Linked DNA regions of Arabidopsis thaliana. The protein of the gene in region 3 interacts with the protein of the main gene of each other region in a pairwise test. Each region holds a gene or a part of one and is shown on either strand. Other genes may lie near its edges.

Evidence for each region.
Region 1: the proteins of AT1G30080 (region 3) and FACE2 interact in a protein complementation assay, tested with the Arabidopsis thaliana proteins (one large-scale study listed by BioGRID).
Region 2: the proteins of AT1G30080 (region 3) and UTR2 interact in a protein complementation assay, tested with the Arabidopsis thaliana proteins (one large-scale study listed by BioGRID).

What each region holds. Positions count from the first base shown.
Region 1 is NC_003071.7:15,212,251-15,217,546, reverse strand, and holds FACE2 (farnesylated protein-converting enzyme 2), read right to left. Parts: upstream 3,162-5,296; 5' UTR 2,941-3,161; coding exon 2,731-2,940; intron 2,423-2,730; coding exon 2,363-2,422; intron 2,278-2,362; coding exon 2,071-2,277; intron 1,898-2,070; coding exon 1,786-1,897; intron 1,684-1,785; coding exon 1,612-1,683; intron 1,537-1,611; coding exon 1,474-1,536; coding exon of another isoform or gene 1,418-1,473; exon of another isoform or gene 1,389-1,417; coding exon 1,311-1,388; intron 1,232-1,310; coding exon 1,098-1,231; 3' UTR 934-1,097; downstream 1-933. Other genes in the region: AT2G36300 (Integral membrane Yip1 family protein), read left to right, coding at 3,418-4,185. UniProt on the Arabidopsis thaliana protein: Protease involved in the processing of a variety of prenylated proteins containing the C-terminal CAAX motif, where C is a cysteine modified with an isoprenoid lipid, A is an aliphatic amino acid and X is any C-terminal amino acid.
Region 2 is NC_003075.7:12,059,251-12,064,695, reverse strand, and holds UTR2 (UDP-galactose transporter 2), read left to right. Parts: upstream 1-1,837; 5' UTR 1,838-2,209; coding exon 2,210-2,332; intron 2,333-2,693; coding exon 2,694-2,722; intron 2,723-2,803; coding exon 2,804-3,005; intron 3,006-3,095; coding exon 3,096-3,338; coding exon of another isoform or gene 3,339-3,361; intron 3,362-3,407; coding exon of another isoform or gene 3,408-3,435; coding exon 3,436-3,537; intron 3,538-3,620; coding exon 3,621-3,761; intron 3,762-3,957; coding exon 3,958-4,065; intron 4,066-4,113; coding exon of another isoform or gene 4,114-4,147; coding exon 4,148-4,378; coding exon of another isoform or gene 4,379-4,389; 3' UTR 4,390-4,512; downstream 4,513-5,445. Other genes in the region: AT4G23015 (uncharacterized protein), read right to left, coding at 4,114-4,389; AT4G23000 (Calcineurin-like metallo-phosphoesterase superfamily protein), read right to left, coding at 5,049-5,234, 5,313-5,445.
Region 3 is NC_003070.9:10,549,896-10,555,397, forward strand, and holds AT1G30080 (Glycosyl hydrolase superfamily protein), read right to left. Parts: upstream 3,401-5,502; 5' UTR 3,273-3,400; coding exon 3,200-3,272; intron 3,084-3,199; coding exon 2,741-3,083; intron 2,569-2,740; coding exon 1,845-2,568; coding exon of another isoform or gene 1,827-1,844; exon of another isoform or gene 1,423-1,826; coding exon 1,336-1,422; 3' UTR 960-1,335; downstream 1-959.

The DNA of each region.
Region 1 (5,296 bases), on a different chromosome or scaffold from region 3:
AATAAATAAACGTAAATTAACATAATTTTGCAAATTTTTAGTATTAGTGAAAATTTAGTTGATTTTTCTTTTTGTATTAGTTCCCTTTTTTTAACGGTTTGTATTAGTTCAAATACCAGCAATATTTATGCTCTCTATTATAAAAGCTCAACTTACAACTATAAAATAAGAATAGGATTTATGAATAGATCATAATAGTATTGGTCTTCATCTTTTTAAAACTATCCACATAAACAATAGTAATGAATCTCACTAGATAGTAGTAGTGTATAGTTTGGGTAAAATACATTTTAGAGTAGATTACTGCATATTGGTTTTGTCGAGGATGATTTTCCGGTTCAACAAATTCTGTTATATGCAAGCATAATCAACCACATCTTCTTTATGAAGAGATCCTCTCCCGTTAAATCACCGTTTACTTCACACAAACACAATATATGTGTAGTGTACAGATAATTTATTGACCATAAATTCAACTATCCAAGCTTCAAATTTCGTAGGAATATGACATAGTAATCAAGTGGTGGTGAGAAAATTACTGAGAGACCTACGAATCCTAGAAACATAATTTTCGTAACTCCTAAGTGAAAATCATCATCATAAACTCAGACTTTGAAAGTCAACTTTGAAATATAATTTTCAGAAAATTATATCCGTTTGATGATTACCCCCAAAATCTCTTTGGATGATCATCAAGCAAGACATCATCTTCTGAATCTCTGATGTAAGATTATGGACCTATGTTCAATTTCTAATCATTGTTTCTCTATTTTTATATATAAATCAAATGAATTTTGGCGTGTTGACATTGGACAATATAGTTTAGGTTAGACTTGGGGATGTAGATCATCCTTCTTCCTGTCCCTCCTAGGATAGCAAGAGAATCATTAGGGATAATACCGGAAAAAAATGGACAATTAGCCAACACTAATTTTGGAGACTTGAACCAATTATTATTATTATTATATATTTACAAGGAAAAAACTACATAAACTATCAAGAAACATTAGCTTGCAGTAAAAGACCATAATTCCAATATTGTGTCAAAAAATAGATTCTAAGACATGATGATATATAAAAAAAAACTTGGAGAAGTGTCAATTCCACAAACAATAGCCAAGCCAACACGGACAATCGTTGGTACTATCGTTGTACATGAGAGGCTTTGTTAAAGGAAAGAGAAGTAAGACGAACCCAACCACACCGCCTAAGAACGCTGCACTCACCAAACCTGAGAGAAGAACCATAACCATGTTTAGCTTATTCTTTTGCATTTGCATTTGTTAACAACCTTGAACTTTATGTCTTACCTTTTCCATTTGCGTATAGCACAGGCAATCCCATGTAGTTGCAAAATATATGAGCAAACAAAGGAGCAGCAAGATGTCCTGTAAAATTTACACAATGCAGGAGACAATCATCCATTAGAAAGGCTTTTACATGTATAAGATATATAAATGCCTGGAATGTTACCGGTTCTGATGAAGAGAAACGATGCATATGCACCAAAAATGACTGTGTAGCCAAGCTGAAGACCTGATCAACGGACAAGTGAAGCTCAGGACTGATCAACAAACAATATTATTATGATTATGGATGGCAAAGACATACCAACAATAAGTGAAGCCCGGAGATAGCTGCGGTTATGCCTGATGTACATCTCTCTAAAATGGTTTAAGTGAGCTACACAAAACATATAAAAGTCAGACAAATCCAGTAATTTTCTTTTCACTCGAGTTGTAAACTGTTATTCACAGAGAGAGAGAGAGAGAGAAAGAAACAAACCCAAGCTAAAGAGAACTGGGCACAGAAAGATGGCAGTGTTAATCCTAAACCCAGCACACAGAAGCAAAGGTATCATACATGATCGGAAAACCAGCTCCTCAGTTACTGGTGCCTGCAAATCATAAGAAACGCCAGCTCTAACAGATTATAACTTGTTCGATTTAGAACTTACTTATACACCAAACTGATGCATATAGTCCTCAGACAATTAGCAAGCAATGCCTTATGCAATTTCAATAAAGAATTGACAAGATAAGCACACAGAGATGGCAAACATATGATTACCACGATAAAATTGCGCCAAACGGAAACATTAGAAGCACTTGTCAATACCGAAGCAGGGATTGTTTGGAAAAAGCTTCTGATGTAATTAAAGGAACTACATCCTCCGCCATTTTCCTTCCATGATTCCAGGAGAGTAAACAACTTCAACACCAAAGACCCAGCATAAACGAGCGAGGTCAATAGAAGAGGATACACCACTCCTTGCCACTGTTCCATATCACAAAACATAACCATTTTAATATGAATAGTGTACAATAAGCTACGAGTAAACAAATTGAGACAAAGAACTTACCAGATGATCTTTCCTTATGCCATAAACTCCAAGTATATAAGAGGCCTCCCAGCTTTTTATCTAACATTACTCAAGCAAAAAAGGAAGACAAGTTTCAGAGATTCCTGTAACTAGCGTTGAATTGTACCAAACACAACATAGTCACCAATATTTGAGTGTTACATTCTTAGAGACAAATTGTGTGAACCTACAACAACTAGTAAAAGCTAATTCAACTCTCAACAAAGTTACAAATACATCAAATTTCTTTACTTTTAGTTTAACTTTCATCAAAACACCAAATGCATCTAGATTTGGACCTAATTTGGTTACAGATCAACGGAGAATGAACTTCAAATCGAGAAATGGCGGTACTCAAAGAAGCTTACCGGAAGTATAAAAGCTGTGAAGACGAGAGATGCTACAGTACAAATGGCCGCGCAGATGAATCGCCGAATCATGAATTCGGTGTAAGAAGAAGCCGACGGGAGACGGAGTATCACGGTGGGAACGTAAAGGATCAAAACGTAGAATAGTGCCATCGCGACGCAGGTAGCCACCGCCAACGACATCGAGATACTCTCGCCATCGGTGGCCATAATCGTTGAGGAAGCTCCGGCGAAGAAATATACCGGCTAATAAGTGTCGAAGTCACCGCTGGTTAAATCTTAGTCCGGCGGTCTTCTAATCTTTAACCAATTACATCGTGCCACGTTATAGACTAAAACGGATGACTACTGGGCCGAACAGACCCATTGGGCCAATTTCGTTTATAAAAGAGGGTATAACGGTAATATCATCAGAAGATATACGTCACCATGCCAGTTTCGAAGAAGCCTATTGGTTATATTTCGTCATTAACTAGACGGAATGACGAAACTACCCTCAGATGCCTTCTTCTAAAGTTGTCTCTTCACTGTCAAGAAGAAGAAGAGAACAAAAAAAAGAAAGGAATTTTCTCTGAAACGTCACGAACGTGTGAATTGGGTTAAAAAATTCATCTCATTGATCCAAACTTGAAACCCTAATTTCGAATCTCTTTGCTGATTTGGTGAGATCTCAATTTCGGAAAGAAGATGACGAAGGATTTCGCAGTTCCACCTGTAGTTTTCCCCTCCGGTGGATCTTCAGGCGGTGCTAATGTCCAGCAACGAAGATTCCCAGCGACACCGTTTCAACCGCCGCGTCCCTCTTCTTCCGCAATCCCTTTCATGTCATTCGACATTGGATCCGCAGCCGCGTCTTCCGCTACACCTGCCGGACCATTCGGCGGGACAATCGCTTCCTCTTCTTCTTTTGGTGGAGGTTCAGCTTCGTTTGAAGATGAGGAGCCATTACTCGACGAGCTCGGTATCCATCCAGATCAAATCTGGAAGAAGACTAGATCGATTCTCAATCCTTTTCGGATTAACCAAGCTGTTCACAAAGATTCAGATCTATCTGGTCCGATCTTTCTGTACCTTGCGCTTTGCTTATTTCAGTTGTTAGCTGGTAAGATCCAGTTCGGTGTCATACTTGGATGGATCGTCGTCTCCTCTATCTTTCTATACGTCGTCTTTAACATGCTTGCTGGTAGAAATGGGAACCTTAATCTCCATACGTGTACGAGCTTGGTCGGATACTGTTTGCTTCCGGTGGTGGTTTTATCGGCGGTGTCATTGTTCGTTCCCCAGGGAGCAGGGCCGGTTCGGTTTGTGCTTGCGGCTTTGTTTGTGTTGTGGTCCACTAGAGCCTGCTCTACATTGGTGGTATCTCTTGCTGATGGTGGAGAAGAGCACCGTGGCTTGATCGCGTACGCTTGTTTCTTGATCTATACTCTCTTCTCTCTTCTTGTTATATTTTGATTCCATATTGATAGATCGTGAATCACTTCCGATGCTGTGTTAGCAAGTAGCAAAAAAAGGCTGCAATATAAGTTCTTTGATGTGAGGTTGAATTGGGTGGGAATAGCACGGTGTGTAAAGGCTTTTTTGGATAAATTTAGAAAGGTGTTTAAGAAATTTGATTCAATGTTTGTATCTGTCACTTGATCTTTAAGGTTCTTACTTAAGAATTATTTATACAATTTGGTCGATATGTCTTTTGACATAGTTTGTTCCTGGACATTAGATTTGTGAGAGTATTGGAATTGATGTTGCGGATGATATGCTTCTGTACTAATGCAGAAGAGGTTTATATGCTTCCTATTTCATGTTTATTTTGCTATTTACTTTCCCGGTGTGAGGCTATGAAGATGTGCTGACTTCTTGCTTGGATTATACTTAAAGGTCCCAAGTTTTAGGAATGATTGGCATTAGATTTGCTTAAAGTATGGCTCCATGTAGGTAGAGTAGAATTTTGAGTTGGTTTTAGAGCTGTTGGAAACTTAGGCATAGTCTAATGAAAGAGTGATTAGTATTTAGTGGTTTGCTCGGTGTTGGTATGTTCCCTGATTAGGTGGCATAGATAAGTAGGGACATGGGATCTTGGCTTCAGGTTCGTCTTCTACTGTCAATCCCAGAACTGCACTTACTTTTCCTGATAGTATTTGCTGTGTCACGGAAATTAGAGAGAGATTTATCCGCAATTCATACTCTCTTAGATGGAATTTGTTTTAATGTGTCGAGAAGAATCAGCTATGTCCAATTGAGTGAGCATAGTATTTGTCAGCTTTACCTTCTCCTAAAACATTCAGTAGAACTGGTGTTAGAAATGATCTCTATATTTTCGTGTTGCAACACTCGTTCCGAGGGAACCATTTTTGTGTTCCACCTTTTCTTTAGAATCCAAATTGACTCAAAGGGGAGTAGGCAATTGTTTTAAACATACAATGTAAAGATGTAAAATTTCTGATATATCTGGTGGATGTACTTAAGACATACCCTACAATTTCGATCCTTGGACTCAATTGAAACCAAACTTTTAGGCGGCTTGGTCTCTCCCTTACCAGGATCTTGTCAAAGGAAACCATATATA
Region 2 (5,445 bases), on a different chromosome or scaffold from region 3:
TCAATTTGTGAAATGTGATGGGTTGCTTGCATATGCAAAAGTCTCTCGATCGAAGTCTTCCGTTTATTATGAACCACACAAATGGTTTTAAGCAAGAAAAATATCTACGAGTAAGATCAATTTTGTTATGTGTAGAGATTATCATTTGTAACTTTATGTATTAATACAATTGCACGTAAAGCTTGACCTTCTAATAGAAATAAATTTGATAGGAAAAAATCTCTAATACCAATTGCAATTTTTTTGTTGTTGTAATATTGCAGTAAGCTCTCTCATTTAAGCCTTTGAACAAAAAATAAAATAAATATCAGATTTATTGTTGAGTTTCGCGTTGGTATTTCAAGAAAAGAATATGGTCTTTGGCTTTTGACCAAAAAAAAAAAAAGAATATGGTCTTTGGCTCTTTGCGACGCCTATATGCATATATGATATTTGTATGACTATAGACTCATAGTTAATTTATTTTCTATTCCATTTTAACTTATCAGTGTCACTAATCAAAGCTATTATTAAACGGTCTATTTTAAAACAAACCATTTTGTCTATATGCTATTTCATATACGACGATTATAATCGCTTCTTTAGAACTAATAGCCAATAATAATGTATATTTCGACTGTTCACCATACACCGCCACCTAATTCTTCTAAAACATTTCAATTCATTGACTAAATATCGTCATTATTTTGCTTACACATTTTGTATATGTTCCTCCAAATTTGTTCACTAGAGTTTTCAACTAGAACAAAACAACTACTCTGTTGGTGAAAGAATGAATATGCATGTGTGAAGTTTATTGCTCAATATGGATATAGAAGATGAAAAGAAAAAGAGTAAATTGATTTCTTTACCAAAACGTGTCCAGATGTTATGTCAATATGTAATTCTGACATGACCAGAACTTCTGTAACGCATTTAACAATCACTTCCGAAAATAACAAAAACAAAATTCAGGAAAGATGATGAAATTGTAAAAGACAGACTGTAATGGCGTCTATTGAGACAATGACTCAATCTGTCTTAAACCGGAAAGTTGACTCGTAAGCCATATTGATTATCTTTATTAAATTTTCCTTTTTATTCTCTTATTCTCTCGAAGTAGTAACTTTCTTTTGCATCAAATAAAGAAAATATGAAAACGCACCCCTAAAGTTTATCTTATTTTTTTTATTAGTGCCTCTAGTTTTCTAATGTGTAGAGTCAGTGACACACTTTCTTTTTACTTTATATCAAGATTTGATGATATCATATGATTTTAGACTTCTAATTAAGGTTTTTGTAAAAATTGTCACACTACTTTTTTGAATTCTTTCACTTTTTTTAACAAATGTTATTTAGAAAACATAGTCAATATACAGATCCTAAATGTAGATAAAAATTTACAATTTTGACTAGCAAGATCTGATTTGATATGTTTCTTATATATCAATTTTTACCCTTATTTGTTCCATTTTACTTTGATACTTTTTTTTATAGACAAATTTAGATAATTTTATTTGATAAGTCATAGCATTTATTTTTCTTATTTTTATACCAAAATTTATTATAAATACATTTTTCAAACAACACATATACAACACAAACTGTCATTAAAACCCAAATTTTATATATATATATATACCAAGCTGGTAATAATATGATATGATCGTAATTAGCAAACATGAGATCATGCAATAAAAGACTTAAGACAAAAAAATGTGCCACGCTGGTAATGCAAATTTTGTCGTGGTGTGTAGATAAACAAAAGTTTCAGACTTAAATCAAACATACATAAACGTTAAGGGTCTTACTTGCAAATTTGAGTTTTACCGGTAAAAAAAAGAGTAACAGGAAACGTAAAAAGAAGAAGAAGAACGCTCAATGGAGAAAAAACGTGTCCCGAAGTGGCAAATCACGCGACGAGTCTCTTCTTCTTCTTCTTCTTCATGCGTTTTCTCCTTCCTTCTTAAAAGCTCTCTTCTTCCTCCTCCTCTTTTACCAATACATCTATTAACTCTCTCTTCCCTCTTCATCAAGTTTCTCGAGGAGAGTGAAGAATTTGGTTTTAATTATTCTTTGATTACCCTTTTTGTGGTGTGGTTTTCGTTATTTCGAGGAGTGATAATAATACCGTTATGAGTCATCACTTTACATGTGTTTGATCAATTACTCTTAATTCACTTTCTGGGTTTCTTCCTTTGAATCTCTCCTCAAAGAAAAGAAAAGAAAAATGAAGGAGGAACAAACAAGATCTCTGTTTGGAATCTCTTTGTCTGATAAACCAACTTGGCAACAGTTTCTCATTTGCACTTCTGGTTTCTTTTTTGGTTATCTCGTTAACGGTGTTTGCGAGGTTCGTTTCTCTCTTTTTTGCAATTTGATTCGAGAATTTTGATACATAATCAATCAACGTTAATGTTTTTGTTTGTTCTTTGTCATAATTCCACATACCCAGCTCCTGAATCTCGTAAATTTATAATTTTTTTGCATTTTCAATCTCTTGCATGCTAAGTGTTTGATGTTTTGTTTCTGAGAGAAAAAAAAACAGAGGAAGAAGAAAAAATTGCATGACGAACTAAACTCTCTCCAAACTTGTGAGAGATCACAAAAAATCTGTGATCTTTGTAAAGAAAACAGATTTTAGAGAATGTGATTGGATCTACAAGTACTCATATATGATCATTGACTTGATTTATTTTTCTTTGGTTTTGCAGGAATATGTTTATAATCGTCTTCAATTTAGGTAAAAGTCAACTTTTGATTACTCTTTTAAGTTTTAGATTTGAACAAAAGTTAACAATGGGATTTTGCTCTGTCTTTGTAGCTTTGGGTGGTATTTCACGTTTATACAAGGATTTGTCTACTTGTTTCTAATCTACCTTCAAGGCTTTACCACAAAGCATATAGTTAATCCGATGAGAACTTATGTCAAACTCTCTGCTGTTCTCATGGGTTCACATGGTTTAACCAAAGGATCTTTGGCTTATCTCAATTATCCAGCTCAAATCATGTTCAAATCCACCAAGGTAATAGATCCACATTTCCCAATTACAGTCTCAATGAGTTTAAATTGAGTTTAAAGAATGATCGGAATGACCATCTTTCGGATGTTTTAGGTGTTACCGGTGATGATAATGGGAGCGTTTATACCCGGTCTTAGAAGAAAATACCCAGTCCATGAATACATTTCAGCGTTCTTGCTTGTTCTTGGTTTGATCCTATTCACATTAGCCGATGCGCAAATGTCTCCAAATTTCAGTATGATTGGGATTATGATGATAACCGGTGCATTGATCATGGATGCTTTCTTGGGTAATCTGCAAGAAGCTATCTTCACAATGAATCCTGAGACAACTCAGGCAAGGAAACTAAAGAAAACACGGTTCTTTCGGTTTTCCTTTACCGGTCTGTTTTGTTTCGTTTCTGAGATTAACTCTTGTTATGTGTGTTGTGCAGATGGAGATGCTTTTCTGCTCAACAGTTGTTGGATTACCGTTCTTGTTCGTTCCCATGGTTTTAACCGGAGAGGTTTTTCGTGCGTGGACTGCGTGTGCACAAGTAAGTAAACAACCTCTGTTCTCTTTTTTCTGGTTTGACTTTTGGTCAACCTTTAACCAAACCAAGTTAACCTTATGAGATAGTCGTCCATTTTAAGTGAAAGTGACAAAGAGTGGAACCTTTTATTTGGCTTTGAAAGTACTTCTATAGATTTGACTCGGTTTATGATTCAAACCGGAGTTGGACTCAGTTTAGAGAAAAAGTCAAAATTTGTAGGATTCTTGGTACCACGAAATGAGAGAGATCATTGACCGACGACGTGCCTCTGAATCTGCCAAACTTTTTAAAAGCCAAATTGTCTCTTTTAAATTCATTGATTCCATAACTTAAGTACCAACGTGGAATATTTTATAGTCAAACGGTTTAATGATTCATTGGTTGACATATTTAAAACCAATTGTGCTTTGTTTATATTTGCAGCATCCGTATGTGTATGGAGTGCTTGTATTTGAAGCCATGGCCACATTTATCGGTCAAGTCTCCGTTCTCTCGCTTATTGCTCTCTTTGGAGCCGCCACAACTGCCTTGGTAAATATCTAATCTTATCTTTGAATACTCATTTGTATTTTAATTGACTCAATGGTCTAAAATCACATTTCGTTGTGTGTAGATAACAACGGCTAGGAAAGGGGTTACATTGTTGCTGTCGTATTTGATATTCACAAAGCCGTTAACGGAACAGCACGGATCAGGCTTGCTGTTGATAGCAATGGGGATTGTATTGAAGATGGTTCCAATGGATAGTAAAGCTCCGGCCAAGATTCCGGCGAGACCAGCGGTTAGGATCGCAGGAGGCGATGGTGATAGAGAAGAGGACGAAGAAAGGAAGTCATTGGTTTGAGAATGTGCCATGTATTTATATATATTTTATCTCACAAATTCAAAGGGTTTATAGAATAATGTTGGATGAAGGAGACACAAAATAGAGTTAAAGTTGTGTCAGAGACTTGTTATTAGATTCTAAAGTGAAATTGCAAAAGATTGAGCTGTTAAATTGTTAACTATGATATGAATTATTTTTGTCATCACTCTCAGAAGAAAGCATTATTCGTCTCAAAGCCTATTCATAAAGCGGGAAACGCTAATGACTACATTCTAAACGACAGGATCAGTGAAGAACCTGATTCTATCTAAGATCCTCCAGTTTCTTTCTCTGATCTATGAATAACAAACTTATCGACAATCTTTACGGTGTTGACAGGATCCTGCTGCAATGTTGTTGCACACCATTTGCTTGGAAACCTTCTGTGATGACTCATTTTCACAGTCGATCTCGGCTCTGCATCCCAGTCCTTGTCCAGCTTCCATTCCTTTGGCACCTGTACTCATTCATCACATACACTCCTCTGTTTAATTCTATAATCACAAACTTTTTCTTTTGTCATTTCGAGAGTTGTTTTTCTCACCTTGTCTACTCCGAGAGTGAAGACTTCAAGGTCTCCATCAGGTTTGATGTTGGAAACGGGTGAATGATTTGTTAATTGGCGATCCGAAGTGAAGAAAATGCTTCATCAAAGTGTATGTGAAGCCAGTTGATGGATATATATAAGTAACTTCCAAAAACCAAAGATACAACAGGGGTTGAGAAGAACCCAAAAGTAGAGGAACACAGAAGCATAATAGATGGCTTGCTCCGCTTCGAGAAAGTGACTCCCATTCCTTTCTCGACAGATGTTAGTCCGTGTAACCGCCATCACCTATGTCAAATACTTTACTTTCGGCTGAAAAATAGTTTTCTATTTCAGCTAAAACGAAGGCTAAGTTGACGATTTTACCTCGGGAATATCAAATGCTGACATAAGATACTTGATGCAGGCAGGATATAATCCGAACGTCCACTGCTCAATACGGTCTCGGAGGCCAGTAGGGTCCGGAAAATGTTCATTTTCTACTGATTTGTACCACTGA
Region 3 (5,502 bases):
CGTGATGGATTATACAAAACCAGAAAGGTGTAAGAAAAGCGATGAAGATATTTATTATAGTGTAAACATGTTGTATTAAACAAATAAGTAACAATTGAATCCAGAGAAAAAAGTAGAAAAATAGAAAATTTATAAAAAGAGAGAAAGCTCCTTTGAAAAGGGACGGCCAATGACTATTGTCAAAATGCTGACGACTTAAAACATGGTCGTGGAATAAAGTTGGAACCGTCCATATCAATTTATATGCTTCCTCCTAATAAATAAACTTTAGTTTTGTTTTGATAATTTTTAACTTCTTCTTTCTCTCCCGTTAGAAAAATGGAGCATTCCTCTTTTACATCAATTGGTGAATTAATGAGTATCCACCACACATATGACATATACACATATTCATACATGTAAGATGTGTCATGTATGCATGTATGAGTAGTGTCATGTGTGTGCACGTACGAAGCCATACCACATATACATGCAGATATAATGCATGCATGTGTAAGAGCAGACAATATATTAAAATATCGAATGTTGACGGTGAGATGGAAAAGGAAGGTATCGTATGTCTAAGGTTTATGGATTCCACGTCCAAAAGATAAAAGGTAAAAGATAAAAGAGCCTTCACCTTCGGTGTGACCAATCAATAAATTTCTATATAAAATATATGATATCATCTTTCTTTTTTTCTGTTTCTGTTAAACGATATCTGATGATAACATTATATATCATGTACTTTAAAGTAATATTTGGAGCGTTGAAAATGACAATATTTTCTGCTTAGTAATAATTATTATTATATTCTATGCTTCTCGTAAAAGTAGTACTATATGGGGTCTTCTTTATATCTAGAGTAATTTCTTTAGCTTTCTGAAATATGATTCATATGTAGTACATAATGTGAAATCAAACATTTTAAATGAAATTATGCAATGAATGTGGTTACTAAAATGCCTCAAATGAAATTGTATCCTTTGGATTTAAACAATAAACACGATCGTTCTTATATGATTCATGAATCATTATTGTATACGAATCATTATTGTATACCTTATCAGTTGATGATTAATTTTAGTCACTTTTTATTTAGACAACGAAAGTAATTAACACGTTAGTAAGACAAATACAAATAAAGTTCTATAATATGAATCGTCAGTTTTTTATACATAGGATTCGCTTTGCAGTACTGCATTCCCTTCTCAATTTTTCTGAGTGTTTTTTTCCCCTTTTAAAGAATCATCTGAGACACTTTCGAGAATAATTTAATTCTTCTCGTTGAAAAATTGGACCGCATTAGTGGACTCTCTATTTACACTTAGAAGCTCTCTCAATTTGTTTTTGCTTCTAGTACGATCTTCTAATTAGCATGTGAATGGCCAACAAATAAACGCATGTCCAATACATCAACCGTTGCTTTCCCTTCTTTAAAGCCTGTTTAAATTAAAATATCATAATAAGCAATAATTAAGACCGCAAATTTTTAATTAACTAATATGTATCTAAAAATCAGATGGTGAGGATAATCATAAATATCATGTACTAATCATATCGCTCCAAAAAAAATGTATACTTTATCGCTATTAATCAAGAAATATGTTAAAATAAATATGTTTGGTAAGAATATGTTCTAGAAAAGCCGAACTTTTCAAGTATAAAACGTCACAATTAGAAGAAAGAAACGTCACAATTCTCTTCTTTTTTAGACAACAGGTCAGAATTTGTTTTAAAAATGTTTCTCAATCAAAGCTTTTTTCAAGGGATTTAATGTGCTATATAAAGATTAAAAAGAAAGAAATATGGAAGTAAGAGATCTAGTAGAAACAGAGCAAGTAAAGTTAAATGTTGATACATACCGTGGAGGCAGAGGAAGTGAGGGAAATAATAGAAGTTGAAGAAGTAGTTGATGTTGATGTTAATGATGACGACGATAATAAACCTACATTGTAAGTCATGGTCTCATCAGGCTGATACAATCCATAATTCCTCTCAGAGGTTGGTCCTGGTTTAAGGTCTTCATTGAAAAGAGCAAATAGATAAACATCAAAACTCAAGTTTGGTCTCAATGGCGTTCCTTCATTTTGAAGTTGTCTCCTTAGAATATTTTTGTTATAAACGGCTGCGTTGGCCACAGTGGCTCCAACCTCATCTCCATCGCCTTTAGACGGCCATCCAGTCTCCGAGACCCCAACTTCGATGTCTTTGAAGCCAAGCCTCGCCATGGCAAAGATCACAGCGTCTACTTGAGCGTAGAGCATGTTGTCATAGCGGTACTTGGTATAGGGGTCAACCATTCCAGGGTTAGGGTTGAAGAGGACGTAGTCTAATGGGATCTTTGTTGGGGAATCCTTGTAAGCGAAGTAAGGGTAAGCGTTGATCCAGAAGGGGGAATTCGTGTTACGCAAGAAACCTAGTAGCTGTGTCATTACGCCAGCTACTTCCGGCCTAAAACATCCGGCGGATGGAGGGTAAGATTCTTGAAGGACGGATAGTGAGTTCGGAGTCGATACTTGAATGTACTTGTCTAGTCCGGTTTGGACCAAAGCCCCATGAATGCTCATCATTGCAGGCATAAGATACCTGCGAATCATAGCAATAACGAGGTTGAATACTTTCTTCTTTTTTTGAACTAGAGGATCTCAGGATGATACCCACATGACTACCATGATTTGGTTAGTAGGGCATATTTGTAATGGACCAAGATTTGAAAAGGATAACAATTTATAGGAATGAGGGGATGTATGTAACAAACCCTATAAGGCTTGAGTCATCGTCAGTGTATAGTTCGTTGCCGACGGCGATACCACCGATCTTGGTGGCCGGAAAGTAGGGTTTGATACGGGTAGTGACCCATTGGAGAGCTTGTTGAGGGTCTACTAAGCTGGGAAGCATTTCATTTTCGACGGTGACAAAGAGCTCGATATTGGAATTGGCAAATGAGGTTAACACTCGAGGGTTTGTGTCATAGATTCTTGTCTTATTGATATGGAGTGAACTCAAGAGTTGTAGAACTTTGTCCGGTGGAGGAAGATTGTCGCCGACTTGACCATAGTTGATGCCAAGAGAGGAGACCCTTTGAAACAACAATCCATGTTCTGTGAAAAAAATGTAAGAGAAATTTAAATAATTAAAGTGTAATGACAAACTGAAATTGAGATAATGAATTTTGTTTGTTGGTAGACAGAAATAAGCAATTATTCAAAAACGATACCTAAGAAAGTCAAGGAAAATAGAAGAAGAACGATAGAGTTGGTCATGGCAATTCTGCTAAACATGTTAGACATGGAGAAGAGAGAAAGAGGGAGATAAAGACTGAGGGAGAAAGTGCTTGTAAGAGAATCAATGCAATGAAATGTGGGGATAGATATAGAGATGAAGAATTGAGAAATGGGACCAAGTAGGCGACGAATAATTATTAATTTATAATTTAGAGATAATACTTTACTTTGCCTGCCTTTGTTTTATGGTGAGACATAGGGTTTCTACAATAAAAGTGACAATATGATTAATTCCAAAAATAATTCAATAAGTTATTTAAATTTATACTCGTTAGTTTTGTAATGGGAGTAGGTTTGGCAATAGGTTTATCTTATGGAAGTCTATTGTAAAAATAGATAGTGTTTGCCAAAAACATTCTTTGTGAGGCAACATGGGTTTCATAAAACATTTTGGACCCAAGAAGAAAAAAATATGACATCTTAGATTGTCTCTTTCCAACACATTGCCAACTATGTCAGTCCAAAAAAAAAAAAAAATGAAAAAGTGGCCTAAAAGAAGACACTTTCTTCAGACAAAGGCAAAGGTGGGAAAAATTGAATTGCCCACTATAATAGGTTTTTAATCTTAACAATATGTCTATTAAACACAAAGAAAAAAAAAACATTATGTCTTTGGCATAGAATTTGGAGGATCCCAAATTTGGTAGTTGGGTGAACCAAAAAAATGGAACGTAAAGAGTAGAAATCACACCATCATAATGATAAGAAGGATAGTGCGCTTATCTTCAGTTTATTATATTTATATAGTATTGCAATTTGCATCTTGTGAAATAAAAGCTCTTTTAAAAAACATTGTAACGATTGTTAGAATTGTATTTCACGTGAAATTATAGTATGACCCTCAGTTAATCCTATATTTGATATTCAACGGAGTTTAGTCGCATATTTAAAACTGATCCTACGTTTCAATTCAGAATTTATATACCGTTAGCTTACATGTAAAAGTAAATATTTCTAAATTCAACCTAACTCATCTAGTCAACCCGCTCGATCACAAAAAAAATTAGGTTGCACAACGGTTCATTATTTATGTTTTAGATGAAATAAAATAAATTAATTACTCGATTAATCAATCAATGGAAAAAAACGGTTTTAAACAAGTTTACAAAAAGAAAAGTTAATCAAAGTTGATATGTAAATTTACAGCCTAATTGGCCCTAGCCAATAATTTAGTTGTCTGAAACAATTTTTTTTTTCTTTCAGTTTGATATTAAAACAATAAAAGCTCTAACTATACACCAGGTGATAATTGTAATTCAACTTCATTTTGTACAGATTTTTGGAAGTTTGGGTTGTTACTTTTCTTATAGAACGGACTTCTTACTACAGTATAACCTCTATAAATTAATAACCTTTATAAATTAATAAATTCTTCCGGTCCCGAGTTGGGACTAGTGTAAAAAATGACACAAATCGATAAATTAATAAGATAATAATTTTTTGGAAAGTTCTATGTAAATATATGGTCTCATCGATATCATAAATTAATAATTGTATAAATATATCAACTATATATATATATTATATGTAAAAAATTTCTTTAAAATATATTTATAATAATTTTTTGTTTAAATTCATATTTGTTATTTGTTTGATTATAGTTTTCATATTTTACTATACCAAAACTTTTGTTATTTGTTTAATAATGTTTTCTAGACATTATTATTATGTTTTATTTGTAACTGGTTCTAGAAATATATTTTTTATAATGAAAAAAATCTTATAAATTTTTTTAAAAAGTTACCAAATTAAGAAAATCTCTCTATAAATTAATAAATATTAATTTATCAATAAATTAATACCTCTCTAAATTAATAAAATTTTGCAGTCCCAAATAGAGGTTATACTGTATATCGGATATTGATTAATTTCTGAAAATTTCAAATATATTAAATGGAATAGAGATCTGAAAACATATGTAAAGTAGCCTGCTTTATGAAATGATGCAACAAAAGTGACCCAATTTTATTTTTTTCGTAACCAACCCAAGAATCTAGTAACTTTTTTGTTTTTGCTAAACAAGAATCTAGTAACTTTTGGAAGATGAATTTCACTATAACGATACTTGTTTATTTGTTACATCCTACATATATACATTAATATACAACATATGAATATGCCTGTGTATACTTACTTGTTTTGGAATAAGACAAATGAGCTGATGCATGTGGTGCGCTTTATGACATCTTAGATTCCTCCGATCTGATTCAACAATCTTAACTCGAGATTCTAATGT